2 linked regions of the Caenorhabditis elegans genome follow. The protein of the gene in region 1 purifies or fractionates together with the protein of each later gene. This does not show direct contact. Each region holds a gene or a part of one and is shown in the gene's direction. Other genes may lie near its edges.

Region 1 (6,743 bases):
AGAAAAAACCTCTGGAATGATAAGAAAACCATTTTGCTCTCCTGTCCTTCTCTTACAATCATCGTTCTTTGCATTTCCTACGATTTCGTATATATTTTTTGTTTTCTGTTGTTTTCTAGACTGCGCACATGTGTTGAAAATAGTTGCGAACGGAAAAATATTTGTTCATTTCTTTTTGAAAAACTTCACTTTTGTTTAAAAAATTGCAGCGATAGAAATTTTAACAAACTGCTCTTTATCAAAACTAATTCAGCTAGTTTTTGTAATTAAACATTATCCAGTTGTTCATCGTATTTTTGTTGAAATAGTTGTTGTTCTTGAAATTCGAACGATTTCGAAATTGGGGACAGACAGCCATTCGTGTCAACGATTTTTCTATTCCATCATCTAAACTTTTAAAAATATCAATATTTTATGTTGCTCGTGTCTTCACTAAGTGTTCATTCCTTCCAGTTCATAGAAAACCAGTGTCCGCTCACGACAGCATCTGTCAGATTTCGTATAGAAAGTGCAGAAACCGTTTTCGAAAACAGAAAGAATTTTTAAAATCATAAATTCTATTTCTATTTTCTTGTCGTTATTTTCGGAATCAATTTTATAGCTGGAATCTTTTGATTGAAATACTGGACGACGAGCTCAAAGTGTCAATCAGCCGTGGGAAATGTGAAAACTGACATCACAACGAGAATAATTGTAAGAGCATCTCCGCATTCTTTGACTTTCTCATGGTCTAGACATTTTGGAAAGAAGCTCGTGAATGTGACAATTCAAGAGCGATCACATGAGTTTAGCTTCAAAATTTGAGGAAATTCGATCTTTCTAGATCCACTTAGAAATATCTCTGGGGGTCATTCATTAGTAGCAGAAGCCTCGTAGAATAGTAGCCACGCCCCAATTTTTCAAGCAACTTGTTGACAAGTCTACTCCAAACACACGTGGTATCGTTTTTGTTCCCAATTTCACTCTGTCTACTCATATGGCCTTCTACCACGTACACCCAGCTGGTATTCTGTCTTTCGGCTTCTCAAAATATTGTTATTCTATAATTTTTGTCAAGTAGAAGTAATGAGTACGAATTGCTCAGTCTAAAAATTCGAATATTCATTTTAGATTTTTGTTAAATCAAAATTGTAGTTATGCCTTCTAGATGTGTGTGTAATTCGTCACTTTACATTTGGTTTTTTTTTTCATTTTGTGCAGTTCGGCATACATCATATTGTCGAAAATAAAATTGATAATGGAATGTTGAATTTATCAATTCAAGTTTCCTATCCTGATCCTTTGGTACAAGATGAGATTAGATCTAAAATCTTATTCTTCCAAAATTAGAAAACCTCACCAAGCTCCTCCCATTAGGCCCTCAGCCACTTGACTCCGCCTTCTTCTTTCATGTGCTCTCTTCTAAAGAGCCTCCCTTCCTCATCGGCTCATAAAAAGAGGTGTCGTTGTTCAATAGACACACACTGGTTTTTTTTCATGTTTCTCTGCGTCGTCCAAACAGCTCTTAGAAACCAAAACCATATTGTGTTAACCAACAGGGCAGATGTTGAGAAATTGAATGTCTGCTGATTTGATTTATATTGTCATACACTGTCAGAGTGGTGAGAGCCCATTTGAATGGAAACGACGCGTGGCACCAACGGCGGCTGCTCGGTCATTCTTTATGATTCATATGATTCACACTCAATCGCGTGACCTCCTCAGACCCTATATATTATTTTTGTTTCGCGGCATAGTTTTCGGAACTTACTGAAAACATTTAATTCTTCTAGGAAAACAAGCCGGATTTCTTGGTTAAACTTTTTTAAAAAGCTTAGTTTTGAAAATCCCTTTGAAATTTTACCCGCCGCCGAGCCTAAGCCAAAGTTTTCTCCAAATTTTCAAGTAAATTTTCAAGCCGATTTTTTTTTAATTTTTCGATTTCACACTACCTGTCATTAACTCCCACCGTTTAACTTTTTTAAAATCCAGAATAATAATGTTTTATTTAGGGTATGGTAGTACCAATAGGTTCACAACATCGTCAAAAAAATATGCCTCCAAGTGGACGTTTCGATAGAACAATCGCCTTGGCTGGCACTGGACATTTGAAAATTGGAAACTTTGTCATCAAAGAGACAATTGGAAAAGGAGCATTTGGAGCTGTTAAAAGTAAGTATTCTTAATATTTTTTATGAAAACCAGGGCAGAATCCGGAATTTTTTTTTCGTGAAACCGAAACGGAAAAAATAGTTTTTCACCCACAGCAAGAAAAAAACAGAAAATTTTTTGTAATATTGGAACGTTATTTTGAAATTTTTCAACATCTTGATCAAATTAGCACTCTTTTTTATAACATTGAAGGTTTTTCGGGAAAAAAAGTGAATTTTAAACATTTATGGGGGTTTTATTATATTAGAGTTTCCCTTTCTTCGCTCACTTTTTTTCCGAAAAAAGAAAAATAAACACCTAATTTTTAGCCAAAAAAACGAGAAATCTACAGCTCAAATGAAAATCAATATCATATTTCTCAGGAGGAACACATATTCAAACCGGATACGACGTCGCCATTAAAATTCTGAATCGTGGAAGAATGAAAGGACTCGGAACAGTTAACAAAACTCGAAATGAGATTGATAATCTTCAGAAACTCACACATCCACATATCACACGTCTCTTCCGTGTTATCAGTACTCCTTCGGACATATTTTTGGTCATGGAACTAGTTTCTGGTGGAGAACTTTTCAGTTATATAACTAGAAAAGGTGCTCTTCCAATCAGAGAAAGTCGACGATACTTTCAACAAATTATTTCTGGAGTCAGTTATTGTCATAATCATATGATTGTGCATAGAGACTTGGTATGTTTTATATTATTTCCTTTTGTGAATCAAAAAATATGTACTCACAAATAATCCTTGTTCAAATATTAAAAAAAAAACAACTAGAAAAACACGATGGGCAGCGTTTATATGTTTACTCGCACTATTTTCGGTCAACATTGTTTGCCATAGTTCAAAATTTAAAGTCTCTAAAAATCAAAATATCTCGGAACCATTGAATCCAAAAACTTGTAAAAAGGAAAACTCTCAGTCGGATAATTTGTTTAAAAATCGTTAAGAACAATATATCAATTTTAGAAGCCCGAAAATCTTCTTCTGGACGCGAACAAGAACATTAAAATCGCTGATTTCGGTCTCTCGAACTACATGACAGATGGTGATCTTCTCTCGACGGCATGTGGATCTCCAAACTACGCGGCACCCGAACTAATATCAAATAAACTTTATGTGGGCCCTGAAGTTGATCTATGGTCATGTGGAGTTATACTTTATGCGATGCTTTGTGGAACTTTGCCATTTGATGATCAGAATGTTCCAACGTTGTTTGCAAAAATTAAAAGTGAGAAATTAAAAGTTAAAACAATTTATTTTGATTATTTTAATACAGGTGGCCGATACACAGTTCCATATTCCATGGAAAAACAAGCAGCCGATCTAATTTCTACGATGCTTCAAGTTGATCCTGTGAAGAGAGCTGATGTAAAACGAATTGTTAATCACAGTTGGTTCCGTATCGATCTTCCATATTATTTGTTCCCAGAATGTGAAAATGAATCATCGATTGTTGATATTGATGTGGTTCAGAGTGTTGCAGAGGTTCGACTTTTAAAAAATATTCTGAGAGTTTCTAAAAAAGTTAAATTAAACTTTCACATTTTTTGGTTCTAGAATACTATTACAATAATTTCTGATTATTTTTTTTAAGTGAATTTATTGTTAAAATATACAAAAAAACTGAAATTCAGAAAACCCCACCAGAAAAAATAATTTATTTTTTCATTTTTCGACATTTTTTGGTTTTTTCATAATTTGAAGCTATTTTATATTTTAAGAAGCAAAATCCCCTTTCATCGAGAAATCGAGAACCGAAAAGTAAAAATGTACGAAAAAACTATAAATTCTTATAAATTATATACTTCCATGAGTTAAGATGAAAATTTATTTTTAAAAAATAGAAAAAAGACAGGAAATCATGGGAATTTTTTTTTAACCGACAGCAACACCTGAAACCTTTTTTTTTCAGAAATTTGATGTGAAAGAAGAAGATGTAACTGGAGCTCTACTTGCTGAAGATCATCATCATTTTCTCTGTATTGCATATCGTCTTGAAGTAAATCATAAAAGAAATGCCGATGAATCTTCTCAAAAAGCAATGGAAGATTTTTGGGAGATTGGAAAAACAATGAAAATGGGAAGCACTTCGTTGCCAGTCGGTGCCACCACGAAAAGTGAGAAATCTGAAAGGAATGTTGCAAAAGTAGTCGGAAAGTTTTCAGCAAATGTTGGTCGAAAAATCTTGGAAGGACTGAAAAAAGAGCAAAAGAAATTGACATGGAATCTTGGAATTCGTGCATGTCTTGATCCAGTTGAGACCATGAAACATGTTTTTTTGAGTTTAAAATCTGTTGATATGGAATGGAAAGTACTCAGTATGTATCATATTATTGTTCGTAGCAAACCGACTCCAATTAATCCGGATCCTGTGAAAGTATCTCTTCAATTATTTGCTCTCGATAAAAAAGAGAATAACAAAGGATATTTACTCGATTTCAAAGGACTCACTGAAGACGAAGAAGGTTTGTATTTATTACATAAACACGAAAGTTCACGATTTTTGGGCTAAAAATACGGTGCCTGGTCTCACCACGACAATTTTTCGTAAATTACGAAAAGTGCGCCTTTGAAGAGTACTGTAATTTCAAACTCGTTACTGCAAATTTTTCATCAATTTCTCATAGATTTTCTATGAACAAAAGATTTCTTTATCAAAATACTAAAGTAAAACAATTAAAACACAATTAATGAATTATAGTACTCTTTACGCCTTTTCGCACTTGACATAAATTTGTCGTGTCGTGACCTGGTACCGTATTCTTCGAGTGAAAATAGCTATTAATATTTTGTTTTAAAAAAAAACTTTCAGCTGTTCCACCGAGTCGTTGTCGTTCCCGTGCTGCGTCCGTATCAGTAACTCTCGCCAAATCGAAAAGTGATTTAAATGGAAATAGCTCGAAAGTTCCAATGTCTCCACTATCTCCAATGTCTCCAATTTCTCCGTGTAAGTTTAATTTTGATGAAAGAAAATTATTTTAAAATGAATTTTCAAAAAAAAAAATTTGTTTTTTCAAAGAAGGAGTAGCAAATTTTTCACAAAAACCCCCAAAGAGTAAAAAAAAAACGAATTTTCAAAAAAAAAATCGAAAACACGAAACCATTGATTTGTAGTTGGAGAAAGATATTTTCGAATTTTTTAAATTAAAAAAAAATAGAAAAATTAAGAAATGATTTAAAAATTATTTAAAATTCGAATTTTTTTTTCTGCAGGACCAGGAAAATTTTAGTTTAGAGTGTTTTATCTAGATATTTTCTCAGTTTCGATCAGTAAAAAATTTGAAAAAAAAACAGTTCGTTCAAAAAATTAAAAATTTTGACATCACTGACGCTACCTTCAAGCTCATTTCATTAAAACGAAACAATTTCAATCATTTTTTTAAGTGGTTCATTTTCATTACTCAATTTTAATATTAATTCAGCTGTCAACATTCCAAAAGTTCGCGTTGATGACGCGGACGCCTCGCTGAAATCATCGTTGAACAGCAGTATCTACATGGCTGATATTGAGGTTTGTTATAGAAAAATATTCGTTCTTGGTTCTTTTTTATAAGCATTAAAATTTCAGAACTCAATGGAAAGTCTTGATGAAGTTTCAACTCAATCTTCGGAACCCGAAGCTCCAATTCGTTCTCAGACGATGGAATTCTTTGCAACTTGCCACATCATCATGCAGGCTTTGTTAGCTGAATAAGAACATAATTTTATGTTTCTATCTGTATAATGATATGTATTTTTCGTTTCTTTTTCAAAATTCATCTTCTCCCGGTTTCACTTTTGCCCCCCTTCATTCCCCTCAGATGCCTTTTTTCTCTTCAAAGCATGTACTTAAATTGGACGTCTTTGTTTGTTTTTTTTTTGTTTTATTATTCTATTTCTGATTCCAATTCAACAAGGTAGTGTTATTTGAAAAATAATAAAAATGATTCAAGAAATTGAAGAAATTGGCCGTGGAGTTGGACCCATTGTAGACAAAACTCGGTCGAGCCACTGAAAATTGTATTATTTCTAAAGAAAACAAGAATTTCAGAACTTACAGCCAATGGAGCATGAAGATGAATTTCAATCCAACAAGGTGTTGAAGTGACATCTTGTCGTTGATATTCAGCTCCCCAACCTTTGACAAATGACATACGAATAAATGTCATTTTTTGTAGATCAAATGAGGCGTCGAATCCACGGCGACTGCAGTCCTCGAGAAGCTGAAAAATTTAGTTTTTCTTATTAGGTCTCCAAATAAGTTCCGGGTCAAAAATCATAACTTTGTTCACTGCGTATCGATTTTTATGAAACTGTGGGAATTTATGTTATCAACCATGATCTTTCATTTGACAATAGTCACAAAATTTTTTGGCCGTCCGAAGTGCCCTAACTCGGAGCCAATGTTTTCAGGCATTTTTCAGATCTCGCTTCTTTTACGCTTTGATTTGAGGTTTGTGTGCGGATTTAGCTTTGTTTAGTACACAATGTAAGAAAACAAGAAAAGTTTAGAAAAAAATCCGTCCAAAAAAAAATTTTTTTGTCGGTCGTCAAAAAATGCTCAAAAAAGTTTTTGTCGAAAATTCTTGATTTTTTATACAAATATGATGTA
Region 2 (5,051 bases), on another chromosome or scaffold:
AATCTTATTCAACTATAGTGTGTGGTATATTATTTAAATTTGAAATTAATTTATGAAAAAAAAGTTGATAAACTAACGTCCTAAAAGCACTATTTGTAGCTTTAATATTAGACAAAAAAATTATACATTTCCATGGACATTATAGAACCTTACTTAACTATATTATAGATAGCTTTGCCTATAGTTTGAATTGTCAATTTTATTTGAAAAAGTTGATAAACTGGCCTATTTAGCTTCACAAAACTTAACGAAAGCATAAAGTTTTCTTAATAGTTTGATTTTTCTATGCTAAATTAAAACAATATATATATATATATAAAATCGAATCCGAAAAAGTTGTTATTCACTACGCAGCTCCCACCATTAAGATGCTAATTATATATGCTAAAAGAAAAAAAAAGAAAAGACTCCTGCAATTCTTTAAAATAATAAATTCGAGAGAAGAGGGGAAGTTTCAAAAATCAAAGTTTGCAAGATAGATTCACACAGAAAAAAGACCATTTGAAAAAAATCATCCAATTTGCAAAGTTTCATGTCTTGTTTGTTCAGCATACAACATGGTACACGATGAGTTTTTGCCACGTGTCACTGAAAAATTTATATTAGTTTGTTTCCAATGGGGTGGAAATTTTGTTTCTTTTTTTTTTGTGCCTACAAGGAAAAGCACCTTTAAAAAATTCTAGAAAGTATGAGAAGATCACATGAAAAACTTATTTACATAGAGACAAAAATTTAATGAATTTCTGATACAGAAATAATTGAAAATTCTATGTGGAAATTTTTTCACTAAAATGAAATTTTAATAATTCTCAAAAAATCAAAATTTTCACGTGATATGTATATAATTTGCAAAGCTTTTCTGATTTTTCGGCGGAGGATGGCTCAGTGGATATCAGTCTCGACTATCAATCCAAGCTCATCACAAGACGCGGGTTCGATTCCCTGCATCTTCCGTCAATTTCTACTCGTCAACTCGATCATTTCTCGTCGGCCGAAACTCGCAATAAACAGTAAATACACTATATATAATAATCGTCATCATAAACAAAAAGTGAAGGATTCTTGTGAACTAATGTGTTAAATGAATAAAGATCAAAAGAAATTTTTGAATTTCTCTGTTTGAGTACCCAAGAAGCTCGAACTTAGTTTTCAAAAATCTCAAATGTTGCTGTGGATCGAACTCAATATTTCTTTTACTTTCACCTTCCAATACATATTTAAGTCGTTTATTACGAGTTTTTCGTTGATTTAGGTCCAATTCGATCAACTGGAGTAAGAATTGTATCATAGTTGTGCACCCATCGACTAAAAAAGTAATTCCAATCAACAACACTTTTCTAAAATTTTGATATATTTTCAGTAATCGTTACATAAGTTGCTGGAAAATTAGGAACACTTTTTTCCAATTTTTGTTCCATAATTTTCAAAAAGTTTCCCAATTTTTGCAAATTCTTCAATAGTTTTCAAAAAATGTTTTCTAGGAGGGGCCTAACTATAAGTGAATTTTTTTTCTATTTTCAGTCGAAAATCAACGTTCATAAGAAATACATTTTGATTTGTTTTTATCTGTTTTTTTTTATAAAATCATGTGAATTAAATTGTTTAGTGTCTTAGAAAAATTCGATAAAAACGGAATGCATCTCCTGTTAATTATGTGCTAATCTTCTTTGGAGTGTTGCTTGTGTGTGCCTTTTCTGTTTTGCCGACTCATCGGGCCGATTTAATTTTAAAATGAGTAACATCACTGATTACTCATCAAATAATGTCTGTCTTGTTTTTGAAACTAATGTTGAAAGCCAGGTAACTAAACAATGACTCATTGAGTCCGTAAAGTTGATTTTAATTTTGAGAACTTGTTTTCTTGGCAATTTCCTCGCCCCAGCGAAAAGCCTGACCGGTAAACTTTTGAGTTCTAAAATTGTTCTACAATTATTATTATCACGTCAAAACTAGTCTGCCTATGTTTACAGGAAGATGTATAAAACAAGAAAACTTCGTTCCATGTTTTGAGCTTCACTGTATCTAAGTGAGTCAGCCATTATGCACCTTTTAACATTTATTCTTGTTTGGTTTTTCTGCATAAATGTTCAGTCTTTTACTCGTAAAAGAGCAACATGCAATACTACAGAGATAATGTAAGTAAGTTTGTAAATGCTCACTAAATAAACTTTATATTGTTCAGGTGGATTCCTGACAAATCTGACTATTTTGAAGAGCAAGTTGAACTGCAACTTACTTCCAGAACAGGCATGAATCCTGATTCAATGGCGAAGATTGTACAGGAAGAGTGCAAATTCGAGAAAAACGGTTGGTCAGTAGGGGAAATGATTGAAACCCAATTTTTTCTTTGGTAGAGTAACCAAATACCATCATAAAATTTCTAGAAAAACATTGGAATTATTTGTCAATTTTGAATTAAAGGTGGAGTAGCGCCAGTGGGGACTTTGTCAAAAAACAGATATAATGATCCAAAATGGCCGAATGGAAAATTTCCAAAAATTTGAAAAGTATGAGCTTTTGAGGAAATTCAAAGCATTGTCGTATGTTCCGACCCCTACAATGTTTTAATACAAACATTAAAAAATAATTGAAATATAAAAAATGTGGTTCGAATGTTCGACAGTGCTCAAATCAAAATAACACATTTTACAAAAAAAAATTATTTTGATATATTTGGCCACATAAATGTTCTTTAACAGTTTCCCCACTGGCCCTATTTCACCATTAAAGCCTTGATCTTAATGTTATAATTAATTTTAGTTTCTTCGGTCAAACGAAAAAAGAGATTTGCAATAGTCAAAGGAGCGCATTTTCTATATAAATTCGTGAAAGTGATCAGTTTTGTGCAGCTGCTCCGAGACCTGTACAGGGGCAGAGGGCTAATTAAGCTTTACTTCGAACTTGAGAAAATGAATAGAGACCTAGAAGAAGAATATTTTCGAACGAGTATTCAAATTCTGATGAGTGGTGAGAAAATTCCGAAGTCAATTCTCAATCACCCGAAAGTTTTATTTGTGAGTGGTGGCAAGATCATCAAAAAAAACGCCTGAAATTTCGTTGTTCAGGTGATAAAAAAAAGAATTCCAATCGAAAACCAATACCTCCTATCACATGTTTCTGCGGCAGATGCAACGTGTTACCAACGTAAAAAGCGTTCTAGAGTCGTCATCGTGTTGAACCTTAAAATTCCAAAAGTTCATCAGAACCGTGTGAAGAAAGTAAGTTTATTTTATTTTATATGAGAAACTTGTTTGTGTGGTAGAGCTTCCATGTGAGAGCGGAAACGGCGTCGGCGCAAGCCTTTTCGCCGCTGTTCAGTAGGATCTCCCAGCAAAGGGTCTCACCACGATTTTTTTCACCTCGACGATACACTCAAAATAAAAAATAACTGCGTGGCGTGTACTGCAGAAAACCTAATATTTAGGCCGCGCCGCTGCGTTTAACTCGCGTTGGGCGTGGCGAGCTGTCTCCGCCTGCTGCGAGTTAAACACAGCGGCGCGCGGAACCCGTGAGATGTCGGCGGCCTGATATTGGTTGGGGTCAAAATTTTGGCCTTTTCTCCGTGAGTGGACAAGAAAAAGGCGGGGCCGAAATATTAGGTTTTCTGCAGTACACGCCACGCAGTTTTTTATTTATTTTGAGTGTATCCGTAGTTAAAAATTCATAATTGTAAATAGTTTTTACTGACGAAAGTTGACATTCATTAATTATTCCTTACTTGCAGTGCGTTTCTTTCAATAATGGCTCACTTTATCACGTTTCGGAGACGGAATCGTTGCGAACACTGAGAGTAGATATCAAGAAATGTTTTTTTGAGGTAATTGAGATTAATAGTTTTGTTATAAGCAAAAGTAATACAATTTCAGAACTTGACATTTTGCCCTCATGCAGCAGTTCGTGAAATCAATTGCACTGATGAAAATCTCAGAGCTTACAAGATTTCAGTTGGGAGGAAAGCCTGATTTTTTCATTAAGCTTCTCTGAGCTTCTGACCTCACAGTAAATTTATATTTCCCGCTACATTCTCCATCCTCAATTTTTTTTCTTATATCATTCTGTTATTCCGCTCCAACTAAAATCTCTCCAAAAATCGACAGTTTTGCAAAAAAAAGACCAAGAAATCAAACAACAAGTGTTATGAAAATTCGACGTGGTGGGAACAATATGCGATTATATCGATTGGCGATTGCGATGTGGAATTTGTTCTGTTCATTTTTTCCGCTGGATTGAATATATCGGAAAAAATACCAACATTTTTTGGGAGTAATTTTAATAAAAATATCTGCATGCACACTTTTTTTCAACAAGGAAATTAATTTAGTTTATAAAATAGGTCACCTCAAATATTTCAGCGGCGGAATCAACTGGACTCTTGAAATGGGGATCTGAAACTTTTCCAGAACATTTTGAAGCTGGATTTAATATATTGAAAGAAATACCGAAAAAAAACCAAAAATGTTTCTTATATTCCAGATTGTTTGTCTACTCCTGAGCTATCTGAAGTTATCGAAAAGCTGGAAAAAAACACTCTTTTTTGTCTCTCAAGTAAAATTGTGAAATTTTCAACTAAAAAATTTTTAGATCGGTTCCACCGTAGCTGAAATTTTTGAAGGAACCACTCTTGGATTACAGTTTTATAGGTGAAGACTAGTAGTTGAGAACTACACTGAAAAAATTGGTCCAATGGGAAAGGGATGGAAATTTTGTTTCTTCATTTTTCGTGATTACAACGAAAAAATTTTTTCAATAAATCTACAAAATATAAGAATATCACGTGAAACATTCATTTTCAAAGAAACAAAAATTTTATAGAAAAATTTACCATACGAAAAGTTTCAGTCAAAAAATTTCAATCGAATTTTGCTGAAAGTCGTAATAATTTACTTGCCCTTCTTAGCCCATAGATCACAAATTCCACCCAATCTTTGCTTCCAATAATTTTTGTGAAATTAAAATGTTTACAATTTCAACTTTGCAACAATGTTCCTTGCTCTTTTTTGCGGGGGAAAACACGAGCCTTTGTGAAAATTAATTCTTTTCTGAAAAGAATT

The links.
Region 2: the proteins of aak-1 (region 1) and D1005.5 fractionate together in Caenorhabditis elegans (co-fractionation; one large-scale study listed by BioGRID). This does not show direct contact.

What each region holds. Positions count from the first base shown.
Region 1 is NC_003281.10:8,756,339-8,763,081, reverse strand, and holds aak-1 (5'-AMP-activated protein kinase catalytic subunit alpha-1), read left to right. Parts: upstream 1-1,991; 5' UTR 1,992-2,033; coding exon 2,034-2,151; intron 2,152-2,513; coding exon 2,514-2,839; exon of another isoform or gene 2,840-3,118; coding exon 3,119-3,380; intron 3,381-3,428; coding exon 3,429-3,637; intron 3,638-4,064; coding exon 4,065-4,269; intron 4,270-4,317; coding exon 4,318-4,617; intron 4,618-4,964; coding exon 4,965-5,099; intron 5,100-5,574; coding exon 5,575-5,663; intron 5,664-5,720; coding exon 5,721-5,846; 3' UTR 5,847-6,079; downstream 6,080-6,743. Other genes in the region: Dwarfin sma-2, read right to left, coding at 6,080-6,142, 6,190-6,354. UniProt on the Caenorhabditis elegans protein: Probably does not act as a sensor that couples lifespan to information about energy levels and insulin-like signals. Together with aak-2, involved in the establishment of germline stem cell (GSC) quiescence during dauer development.
Region 2 is NC_003284.9:1,469,909-1,474,959, reverse strand, and holds D1005.5 (Signal peptide-containing protein), read left to right. Parts: upstream 1-1,979; 5' UTR 1,980-2,040; coding exon 2,041-2,135; intron 2,136-2,182; coding exon 2,183-2,307; exon of another isoform or gene 2,308-2,311; intron 2,312-2,760; coding exon 2,761-3,014; intron 3,015-3,065; coding exon 3,066-3,218; intron 3,219-3,724; coding exon 3,725-3,817; intron 3,818-3,866; coding exon 3,867-3,962; 3' UTR 3,963-4,280; downstream 4,281-5,051.